Canis lupus familiaris: one gene and its partners. The protein of the gene in region 2 interacts with the protein of the main gene of each other region in a pairwise test. Links are inferred from orthologs where the notes say so. Each region holds a gene or a part of one and is shown on either strand. Other genes may lie near its edges. The genes, in order: MIIP, STK16 and PLSCR3.

The links.
Region 1: the proteins of STK16 (region 2) and MIIP interact in binary tests that used the Homo sapiens proteins (3 or more experiments, as listed by UniProt). The two-hybrid records come from large-scale screens. The link is inferred for Canis lupus familiaris from reciprocal best matches to the Homo sapiens genes STK16 and MIIP.
Region 3: the proteins of STK16 (region 2) and PLSCR3 interact in binary tests that used the Homo sapiens proteins (3 or more experiments, as listed by UniProt). The two-hybrid records come from large-scale screens. The link is inferred for Canis lupus familiaris from reciprocal best matches to the Homo sapiens genes STK16 and PLSCR3.

The regions. Positions count from the first base shown.
Region 1 is NC_049223.1:83,744,616-83,747,866, reverse strand, and holds the end of MIIP (migration and invasion-inhibitory protein), read left to right. Parts: intron 1-339; coding exon 340-448; intron 449-557; coding exon 558-610; intron 611-1,120; coding exon 1,121-1,250; intron 1,251-1,395; coding exon 1,396-1,492; intron 1,493-2,179; coding exon 2,180-2,314; intron 2,315-2,595; coding exon 2,596-2,637; 3' UTR 2,638-2,714; downstream 2,715-3,251.
Region 2 is NC_049258.1:25,668,250-25,671,991, reverse strand, and holds the start of STK16 (serine/threonine-protein kinase 16), read right to left. Parts: upstream 2,386-3,742; 5' UTR 2,291-2,385; intron 1,989-2,290; 5' UTR 1,885-1,988; coding exon 1,799-1,884; intron 1,210-1,798; exon of another isoform or gene 1,195-1,209; coding exon of another isoform or gene 1,186-1,194; intron 991-1,185; coding exon 771-990; intron 507-770; coding exon 373-506; intron 199-372; coding exon 78-198; intron 1-77. UniProt on the Homo sapiens protein: Membrane-associated protein kinase that phosphorylates on serine and threonine residues. In vitro substrates include DRG1, ENO1 and EIF4EBP1. Also autophosphorylates. May be involved in secretory vesicle trafficking or intracellular signaling.
Region 3 is NC_049226.1:32,535,447-32,539,088, forward strand, and holds part of PLSCR3 (phospholipid scramblase 3), read right to left. Parts: intron 2,840-3,642; exon of another isoform or gene 2,380-2,839; intron 2,164-2,379; exon of another isoform or gene 2,160-2,163; 5' UTR 1,990-2,159; coding exon 1,983-1,989; intron 1,682-1,982; coding exon 1,440-1,681; intron 1,348-1,439; coding exon 1,305-1,347; intron 1,197-1,304; coding exon 976-1,196; intron 705-975; coding exon 543-704; intron 1-542. UniProt on the Homo sapiens protein: Catalyzes calcium-induced ATP-independent rapid bidirectional and non-specific movement of the phospholipids (lipid scrambling or lipid flip-flop) between the inner and outer membrane of the mitochondria.

The DNA of each region.
Region 1 (3,251 bases), on a different chromosome or scaffold from region 2:
TCCTGGCAGGTGTCACCCCGCGATGTCGTGCCTCAGGTTTCTTAGGAGCCTGGGTCACCCCCACCGCCTCCTCGTGAGGCCCGCGAGGCCGACCCATCTAGTTCCCTCCTCCCGCCTGGCTCCGTCCATCCATGCTTGTTCGCTGTGCTTGTTCGCTGCGCGGACGGTGGGACTGGGACGGCGTGAGGGCCGACTCGCTCGGTGCGGAGCTGGCGGTCGCGGTGCGTGGGGCGCCCCCGCTGGTGTGTCGTGTGAGGCAGCGGGGCAGAGTCGCCCCAAGTGCCGGCCCCTGTCCCCGGCCCACAGCCACACAGCAGCGCTGCCGCTCGCCCCCTCCAGGGTCGCTGGACAACAGCTCCCCCGTCACCAGCAAGCCCGATGCCTTCTTCTCGGAGCTGAAGGATTTCCGGGAGGCCAACAAGGAGGAGTGTATTCACAGCGACCCGGAGTGAGCAGGGGTGGCGAGGGGTGGCGAGGGGTGGGAGGGCGGCTCACCCCTCCCCCCCCCCCCCCCCCCCCCCCCCCGCCCGCTGGCTCTCAGCCCTCTCCCCTCGCAGGCCCCGGCCCCCAGGCGTGCGGGAGAGCCGTGGCGTGGAGGAAGAGCATGCATGTGAGTGGGTGTTCTCACCAGGCGCCCAGGGAGGCGGCGGGGGGCTGGGGGGCCTGGGGTCCAGGTGCAGTGAGGCAGACCTTGGGGGCTGCGGGGCAGCTGAGGCCAGACCCTGCAGGACCAGGCCGGCCCTGTCGCCCACCTCCCCCGCCCCGGCCGCCTCTTTCCTTCGCGCCTGTCTTTGCTTCGAGCCCGCACGTGTAGCATGTGTGCACACGTGTGTGGATGGCGCATGTGTGCTGTGTGTGATGACTGCTACAGGTGTGCGTTTGTGTTCACTAGTGTGGTATGAAGCTGTGTCACGCCTGCACACGGGTGTGAAAATGCCCGTTTGTGTGAGGGCACCAGCCTGTGTCCCGCTGGTTTCGTCACGTGAGCACACGTGCACGTCTGTGTCGTGTATGTGTGTGTGTGTGTACACCCGTACGTGTCTGTGCGTGTGGGGTGGGCAGCAGGGGCTCGGGGAGGTGGGGGCCCAGCTGAGGGGAGCCGCTGCTCACGGCCCCGCAGGCGTGTACTGTTACCACGTCAACCGACGCCTGTTTCTGGTGCCTTCCGACCCCGGTGTCCCCTGCCGCCTGTGCAAGACCCCCCGGGACCAGAGGGGCCCTGAGACCCTGCTGGAGCCCGCGCATGTCAGGTGAGTGGCCAGAGCAGGCAGGTACTGGGGGCAGCACAGGGGCGGCCGAGGAGGGGAGCCAGCCTGAGGCCGGGCCGGTCCTGAGGGGTGCAGGGCGGCCTGGGACGCTGGCCCCACAGTGCCTCCTCTCTGCCCCCTCCCGCAGGGTGAGCATCCCGCTGTCCGTCCTCCACCCTCCACACCAGTACCGCATCCACCGGCGAAAGAGCTTCGACGCCTCCGACACGCTGGCCCTGCCCCGGGTGAGCGGCCACATGGGGCCTGGGTGGAGCTGGGCTCGGAGGCAGGTCCCCAGATGGATTCTGAGGCCCAGGGAGGGCCGAGACTGTCCCAGGGCCACACAGCGAGGCCGGGCCGCTCCCATCGCCTGCTGGTCTGCTTGCTCGCCCGCCCCTCATACGTGGGCCGCCTTCCTGGAGCTCCCGTGTGCCGTGCGCGGCCTCTCGGAGGCTTGGCTCACGGAGCCCTCACGGCAACCAGGAGCGCAGGTCCTGGAGCCTCCCGCGGTTCAAATAAGGAGACCGAGGCAGAGGGAGGTGCCTGGGCTCAGGTCAGCAGGTGGCAGAGCAGAGATGTGAGCAGGCCCTTCCAGTTCCTGGTGCCTCCCATGGAAACGTTCTTCGTGTCTCCTGGCCAGGGTGGGGGTCGGTGGGGAGGAGAAGGGGTGCTCATCTGTAAAATGGGTACAGCCTACGGTCCTCAGACCAGTGGGGTGAGTCGGGCCCTTCAGTGAATCAGTACTTCTGGGCCATGGGGCACGTGGTGCCCGGGAAGTGCTCAGCCACTGTCCATGGACATCCCCCTCCTGTCTCAGGTCGGGGCCAGGGCCTGGGGTCCCCCAGTGTGTGGACACAGCCCCCTCCCCGGGGTGCGCCCCCTGGAAGGGAGCCCTGCCACAGGCCAGACGCCTTAACCCTTGCTGTCCACAGCACTGCTTGCTGGGCTGGGACATTTTCCCTCCCAAATCCGAGAAGAGCTCAGCCCCCAGGAGCCTGGACCTCTGGTCCTGTGTGTCCTCCGAGGCCCAGCACCGGAAGCTGCCCGCTGCCAGCCCTTCCTACCTGGTATGGTCAGGGTGCCCCAGGACGGACATGCCTTGGAGCAGGCCTGGGGTCTGCAGAGCCCCCGGGGGCGGGAGGGGGCAGGGGGAGCAGAGCCAGGAGCGTCTCTGCAGGGGCCCGTCCTCCCCGCCCACGGCACCTCCCTTCAGGCTCTTCTGCTCCCTGCCAGCTGCCCCACCCCACCCGGGAAGGTGACCTGGACTCTACAATCCAGATGGGGATGAGGGGGGAACGGAGGGTGACCATCCAGGCCCTGCCAACACGGGTCCCACCCTGCACCCCAGTGTGGTCAGGACCCCAGGCCTGCGCCCCCTGTGAAGCCCTGAGGACTGGCCATTTAGAGGAGGATGGAGCCGCGGCCACCAGCTGTAACCCGTCTTCTCTGTTAGGGCATCCGAGGAGGGAGCCCTGCCCGGCCTCAGCTGCAGGTGCACTTAAGCTCCGGCCTCCTAGGTTGGGCAGGTGGAGGGACCCAGGCCCTTGTCCCTCTTGGACAGAGGTGGGGATGTGACATGTTTGTAAATAAAGCCCATCCTCGTCTGTAGCTCCAGGTTGCCCTGTGTGCTGGGTCTGTCCTGCTGTTGCCCTCGGTGTCCGGGAGGTACCCTGGCAGCGCCTGCCCACCCCGGGGACAGGGGGTCTGACGCTGGGTGGGGTAGATCCAATGCCTGGGTGTACCTGCAGCTTCCAGCCCTGGGTGGGTGGCCTCTGGGGTGGGGGCTCGGGGCCTCAGGCTGGCCCCTGCAGACAGCGAGCAGTGAGTGAGTTCTCCCCCCTGGTTCCTAAAGCTGGGGTCCAGGGCCCCAGGCTCCTCTGAGGCCCTCTCTAGCCAAGCCCCCGGAGCCACAGGTGGTCGGGGCTGTGGTCGGGGCCGGGCGGGGAGCCAGAGGGTGGGCGGGCCGAGAGCCCAGATCAACGGCCAGTGTCTTTCTCCTGAAAT
Region 2 (3,742 bases):
TGACCAAACTGGGGCATGCAACAGGAAAGGCTGAGGATGGGGAACAGGAGGGCAAAGGAACCTGGACACTCTTTTACCTGCAGGGCCAGAGCCTGGCGGGAGCCTTCCACATGGATGCAAGCTTGATTCATGGAACCCAAGTCCATTAAAACTGGCTGCCCCTCATCTCCAAGCAAGATATTGGTGGGCTTCAGGTCCCTGCAGGAAAGTGGAAATAAATGGCCCATGAACATCCCTGGATAGGGAGACTAGAATCCCTGGGGGCAAAAGAATCATGGGGACTGTTCCTTGGGAGGAGAGCAGAGACCACTCAATCCTTTTGGTGAGGCTCTTTCTTTCTGCCCCATAAGCACACTGGGCCCTCCCACTGACCTGTGGGCATAACCTCTGGCATGAATGGCCTCAAGGCCTCTGCAGATACCCAGCAGCAGCTGAAGGATTTGATCTTCAGTCAAGAAGTTGCCTTTGTCCTTCAGCCTTTCTATCTCGTTCCACAGCGTACCCCTCTGCAACACAAGTTTCCCCACGGTTGGACAGGTTTTCTGGGTCTCTGCTCCCTCAGCCTGATCCCTTCCCTGTGTCACAGCCTAGCAGCTCTTTCACCACACACACTACACACCTCACAGTCCCACTTGGGTTCCCCTAAACCCCAAATCTGAAGCGGTCCAACACAGGACATGGTCTCTGCTTCCTAACGTGCTTGGCTACTCACACAGCCCTCGGTAGATGACTCTGTTGCAAGCCCCTCCATTGCCAGGAGACTTTCTGACCTTGAAGAAGGGTAGCAGCAGCCAGGCCTCATGTTTAGTGCCCCGCTCCCTCAGACAATAAGCCACAAGGCGGAGGATGTTGGGGTGATGGAAGAGGCGATGCATGTCTGCTTCTCGTTGGGCTTCCTCCCGATCCTGCTGCTCGTGACACAGGATCCGCTTCAGGGCGTAGAAGTGTCCATCATGTAACCCCTCCACTAGGTCCACATAGCTGAACCCACTGTGGGCCAAAGGGGTCAGTGAAGGACCACGGTCATCTCCCACACTGCTTGGACCCAGAGGAACTCCCTGGGTGGGGAGGGGAGGGGGTGTCTTTCCCAGTCAGCAGAAACCCTCCCAAGACGTGGCTTCAGGAGAAGTCTGAAGATTTTACACTTTGAGCTCAAGGGTAGGAACACAGCAATCTTTGAGGTACCTTGGTCATAATGCACAGCTCTGCACGTGACAAATGCTCCGGAAATGTTACATGAGTAAGTAACAGTCAACATCTGTCAAGTGCTGTGAACCGGGCCCTGGGTGAGATTATTATTATTATTTTTTCTCTTTTTGGTGAGATGATTTCTATGCACTATCTCATTTAATCCTCACAACTCCATCAGCGACAAAAGATAATTATCTCCAGGGCAGCCCGGGTGGCCCAGCGGTTTAGCGCAGCCTTCAGCCCAGGGCCTGACCCTGGAGACCCAGGATCGAGTCCCGCATCGGGCTCCCTGCATGGGGCCTGCTTCTCCCTCTGCCTGTGCATGTGCGTGTGTGTGTGTCTCTAATAAATAAAATCTTAAAAAAAAAAAAAAAAAGATGATTATCTCCATTAAGCAGATGATGAAACCACGGCTTAAGGTCACACCAGGTGGAGCCAGGAGGCCTGGCTCCAGAATCCACTTTCTTGGCATTCGGGTTGCTAGGCTCTGTCAGGGGAGCTAAAGGATGCTTTACAAGGATGAACCTCCTGAGGCCCTATCACGTGCAGACTGCTGTCCTTCACTCACCAGAACCCTGGGGGCTGGCTAGGCGATTTCAACACTCACCCCTCCCCCAGTTTCTGGATGAAGAGGTAGCGCTTGTTGTCAATGAGGACGGTTCCCCGGGAGCAGACACACAGCGCGTGGCCCATAGCGCCTCAGTCATCCTCCTCAGGGGCGGTCCGGGGCTGCCGACGGCCGCGTGCGGGCTGAGGGGGCTCTTCCAGGCGACGCGCTGGGGGCCCCGCGGATCATGCTGGAAGGCAAAGGACGGCAGGGTCGTGGGCCAGGCACGACCCCCGAAGTGCCGACGTGCAGAGCTGGCGCCCGGGCCTCGGAACGCAGAGGAAACGAGCCTTGGCGACGCCGGCTCGGGCACGGCCGAGGTCGGGTGCCCTGGAGCCTCGGGCCACGCCGCGACGCCCAGGCCGCGTCCTCGCCGTCGGGCCGCCTCGGCAGCCGCGGAGCGTGGGGGCGAGGCCCGGGCCCACCCGGCGGGGCCCGCCCCGGCCTCGGCGCGCAGAGCCCCGGGAGGGCCGGCCCCGACTCCCCACTGACCTGGCTCCGGCCGGAGACGAGCGCCGCGGACCGGAAGGAGCGTCTACGTCATCAGGCCGCGCCGGCGTAACGGCCCGCGGTATCCTAGCAACCGCAGGGCATCCGGAGGATGTGGGGGCGCGGAGCTGAGAGGCCGGGGGCGGGCTAAGGCGCGGGGGAGCACGGGTCCCGGGACCCGGTGAGGGTTCCACACCAGGCCTTCAGTAGTGGGCAGGACGCAGGCACCCGCGCCCAAGGGGAGCAAAGCCGGGCTCGGCCCGAGGCCCCCCAGGCCCCCCGTCTCCCAATGCCGGAGGTAGGAAGCTGCAGTCCAGCCCCGAGGGGCGGGGGCCGGGCGGGGGCCGGCGGCCTGGACCCCCACAGCGCCGATCGGTGCACCCTTCGGGGCTCAGGCCTGCATCCCACTACCCTAGTTTCAGTGGTTAAGAGCTTACTAGCTGCGTGACCTTGGACGACTTAACCTCTCAGAGCCTCGGTTTCCCCAGTTGTAAACAAGCTCTAACAGTACCTAAGGTTAGGTGCCCGTACGGGGAGGCCAGGCTGCAGCTCCCAGCTCTGCTAAACTAGCTGCGTGACCTTGAGCAGACTATTTAAAATTTCTGCCTCTCAATTCCCTCATGGGTAAAATGGGAGTGATAATTACCAACTGCACGGAGCTTTTTGAAGATGAAGTGAGATGTAAAGTGCTTAGCACACTATCTGACACAGCCTTGGTGTCAATAAATAGAAGTTGCTGTTATTTTTATTATGATTCTATTTTTCTTATCCTGGTCCTTACATCCCAGGCTTGGGATTGTGAAGGCAGGAGTCATGGAAATTCATAAATTCCCAAGCCTTGGCCCCAGGTAGTTGTTCTTGACAGCTCTCGCTGAGGCAGGGCAGGGATAAATTGAAGAGCGGTGGACATCCAAAGAAGACAGAATGGCTGAGGTGGTCTCTTTTGCTGTAGCAGGGCCACTAGGAGAAAAAAAAAAAAATCCCATTTATAACTTGGTTCCTACTTTCACACCACTGGGAAGATTGATTCCGAACCTGTTTTAGCCCCCTGGTTCCGACATTCATTCATCTAGATTTAACCTGCTATGTACCGAGTCCCGTGCTAGAAGCTGAGGATGCAAGATGGACAAGGTACTCTTCACCCTCAGGGAGCTCAGTTTAGTACCACAGTGCTTCTCAATCTTGAATGCCTTTCGGATCGCCTGGGAATCTTGTTAAAATCCAAATTCTGATTCTAATAGGTCTGAGGTAGGACCTGAGACTCTGCATTTCTAACAAGCTCCCAGGTGATGCTGATGAAGCGGATTCAAGATGTAGAGGATCTTACAAACTAGTAGAGTAGCGCGGGTGGACAAGTCCAGGCTAATTGCCTGGTGACTTGAGGTGGTCTCCGCCCCCTTGCTCGCTGAGGTTCCCTCCCAGGAATCCACCACGTGACAGCCGGACCGCCCTCTC
Region 3 (3,642 bases), on a different chromosome or scaffold from region 2:
TGCTGATGGTCCCTTAAAGAACCCGAGTGTCTGTGAGATGCCTTTGTCTTCTAGAAATGAAAGCGCTTCCCCGGCCTCACCCTGAAACTGTCACCGCTTGGGTGCTCCAGGCTGGTGATAGAATGCATGTTGACAAGGATATACATCACTGGATCATAGGTTGGAAGGGCAAGCCACAGGATGTTAGCAATTAAAATTGTTGTTTACTCCAGAGTCTGAGGCTCACAAAGTCATGCATAGCAGCCACATGGTCCAGCCCACAGCGGACTTGCCCTGAATCAAGCCTAGGTTTTTTGCCCCCTTCCACATAGGGTAACAATCAGCTTTGGTCCTTACGATGAAACCCTCTTTACCAAGCTTTCCTTTCTTAAGACCACAGGGGCAACCCTTTCTGAATGAAGGAACACTGGAAACAGGACAGGAGTCACAGTGGATTCAGACTGATGACCTCAGGGACCTTAGTGTTGGCCATCCTGTCTCATTCACAGAAGCCACCGTCTTGGTTGATGAAGGTCCCAGGAATCTCCCCTTATTCACAATACCTCAAAGTTGGTGTCTGAGCCACAGCCACAGGTCCAGCAGGGCCCCACCACACGCAGCACCGTGCGGCGGTCAGCATCCTGGATGGAGAACTTGGGGAGGAAGGGATGCCAGGTCTGTAGCACGTGGCCAATGGTAGTGCCGGGTGGAGCCTGGACTTCCATCTGGAGTGGGAGGCAGACAGGGTGACTGCCGAGCCAGGGCACCCTGGCCCAAGCTCTCACCGCTCGGGCTCTGTCACCCGTCTGCCCTGCCAAGACCTCCCATTCCTTGTCACCTCCCCTCGCTGACCTCGCGTTCCATCTGCCTGCGCCCACCGGGGCCACACTGGACCCCGCGCCTCATTCTGGGTGGTCCAGATTCCACCCAAGGGCCCCCCCATCACGGCCTGCCGCCCACCCAAACCCCTCCCTGGCCCCAGCCCTCCCCGCCCACCTCCTGGAGGCCGCAGGGGCAGCAGCCGCAGCCACAGTGCAGGGGGCGGAGCAGGCGCAGCACCTCACGATCCCCGGGGTCCACCACGCGCACACGCAGGGGCCGCCGGGCGCCGCAGCACAGACGCGCACAGCAGCTGCTCTCCTCCGCTGCCTGACCCAGGGGCTGTCCTGCCCCAGAGCGCAGTTCATACCGGTTACAGGTCTCCCAGCCCAGGAGCGCTGCCAGGGGTGACAGGCCGAGGCTCAGGCACAGGAACAGGCACCTGCCCGAGGGCCCTCTCTCTCTGCCCCCGGGATGAGGCCCAACCTACTCCTCCTTCCACTCACTTTCCACTCGCTCGGCCTTCTGGTGAATCAAGATCTGATCAATCTGGAAAGAGTCGGGTCGGCACCAATGTTAGCTGGCTGGCCTGGACGCCAGGGTCCCCTCCTCGTCGCTCCCGTCCCCTCCTTCCCACTCACCTGCACCAGGAATTCGAGGCCAGAAGGCACCCCCGGCAATGGCAAGAACGGGGCAGCAGGCCCTGGGGCTGCGGGGCCGGGCGAGGGGAAGAGAGAGAAGCCGGGCGCGGGAGCAGGTACATGGGTGGGCACAGGCACAGGCACCTGCCCAGGCCCGGGGTGCAGCGCCGGCTCCGGGTACCCAGCGGTCACAGGGTAGGGAGGCGGGGGTGAAGGGGCGTGCCCTTTGGGGGGCAAGTAGCCTGTGGTGGGGAGGGGAAGAGAGGGGATCAGAAAGCTTCCCCCCCCCCCCCCGCCTCATCCTCCCCCCACCCCCCCGCCGCCCCTTAGGCCATGGCCGGGCTGCGGGGCTGCAGGGAAGGGGGAGAATGCGATGGGCAGAGGCTGAGCAAGATGGGGCGGGGGAGCAGGGCGGCGGCTCCCGGGAGGAAGGGAGGGGCCCCACGCAGCCAGTCGGAGCACATTCCCGGAGGATGTGTTCGATGCCCAGCTCCCCAGTCTGTGGGGGGGATAACGGGGACTCTCAGCGCGGCGCCCACTTACCTGCCATGGGAGAGGGGCGAGAGATGACGGGATGGCGGGGTCCCAGACGCTCAGTTTTAGAGGTAGAAGCAAGTTCGGGCACAGCCAGACAGACACAGAGGCAGACACAAAGACGGACAGGCAGACGCGGACAGGCAGCTGCGCCCGCGCCGGCCCAGGGTCCCTCGGGCGGCGCCTCTGACTCAGGAAGAAACCGAAAGTGTCAGCGTGCAGGGCGGGGTACCTGGGACCCTGGATTCCCTCGGGGGCCCCAGAACCGCCCCCTCCCTTTGTTCTCCCATTTTCCGTGGAGGCGGCGGTTGACAGACGGCAAGGCAGGTGGACCCGCGGCCTGACCGACGGCCGGACCTCCAGGGAGGCCTCCTGACCCTTCGGCGCCCCCTCCTCCCCCGCTCACCTGAAGCCCCTGGGATAGCTGGGGTGCCCAGCACTCGGTGGCTCACAGGAGCTGGAGGAGGCGGGCCCGGGGTCTGACCCCGCCCCTCGACCCGTCCGAGCCCCGCCCCTCCCGGCCTGGGTGGCGCGCCTGCGCAGAAAGGGAGCCGGCTCTGCGGGGCCGCTGACCGCTGACCGCCGGCTGTCGGGTGCGGTCTGCGTCCCCGCCGCCTCTGCTCCGCCGCGGGGGATCAGGGGGAGCTGGCCTGGGGCGGGCCGCCGACGGAGACCTGGCCCTGCCACCCCGCCAGGTCCCCGGGAACAGAGTGCCTCCGTGTCCCTGGGTGGGAAGCGAGGGCAGCTGGCGCTGCGCTGGACCCCAGGCTCCTCCTCTCGAGGGCGGTGCGGGGCCCCGCTGACGCAGCGGAACACCCTTCCTCTCCCTCATTGGCTTCCAGGGCTGGCCCCCAGCTCCCCCTCTGTCCCCTGGGGGATTGCCTGGCGGGCTCCTCTCCGTGACGTCGCAGTCACCCACGCGGGCACCTTGCAACGACAGGACTGCCCGCAGGAGCCCCCGGCCACGTGGGTGACAGGCCGCCAAACGGTGTCAACAATGAGTGTGCGCGCAGTGGGGCTGGGGGGGGTGCAGAGGAGGAGCGCGGCTAGCAGGAAAGCCTTCTCCCCGAGGAGTCGCTTCTGCTGGGTCCCGAGCAGAGGCCCGCAGGGGTGAGGCGGTCCTGAGCCTTGGGACCCACAGGCCGAGGGGCAAGAGAGGACCTTACAGACGGAGGCCAGCCCATGTGTGCGCAAGGCAGGTGGGAGCTGGGACTTGGCGCCCGGGTCCACAGGGAGCCCACTGAAAGAGGATTTCTTTTTAAAAATATTTTATTTATTCATGAGAGACACACACAAAGAGAGGCAGAGACACAGGCAGAGGGAGAAGCAGGCTCCATGCAGGGAGCCTGAGGTGGGACTGGATCCCGGATCTCCAAGATCATGCCCTGGGCTGAAGGCGGCGCTAAACTGCTGAGCCACCGGGGCTGCCCCGAAAGATGATTTTAAGACCCAAAAAGAAGGCCAAATTTGTGTTTTAGAAAAACCATTTAAGCTGCAAGGTGAAGAACGATGGTCTGGGTCGTTGATGGTAGCCAGGAGGAGAGGATGCTGTGTTATTAGTACAGACACAAGTGGCAGACCTGGAGGACACCTAGACAATAATAGAGAACTTGTTTGAGGGGTGAGATGTGGAGGTGAGGAGTTCAGGATGACCTCGGGTACCTGTCTG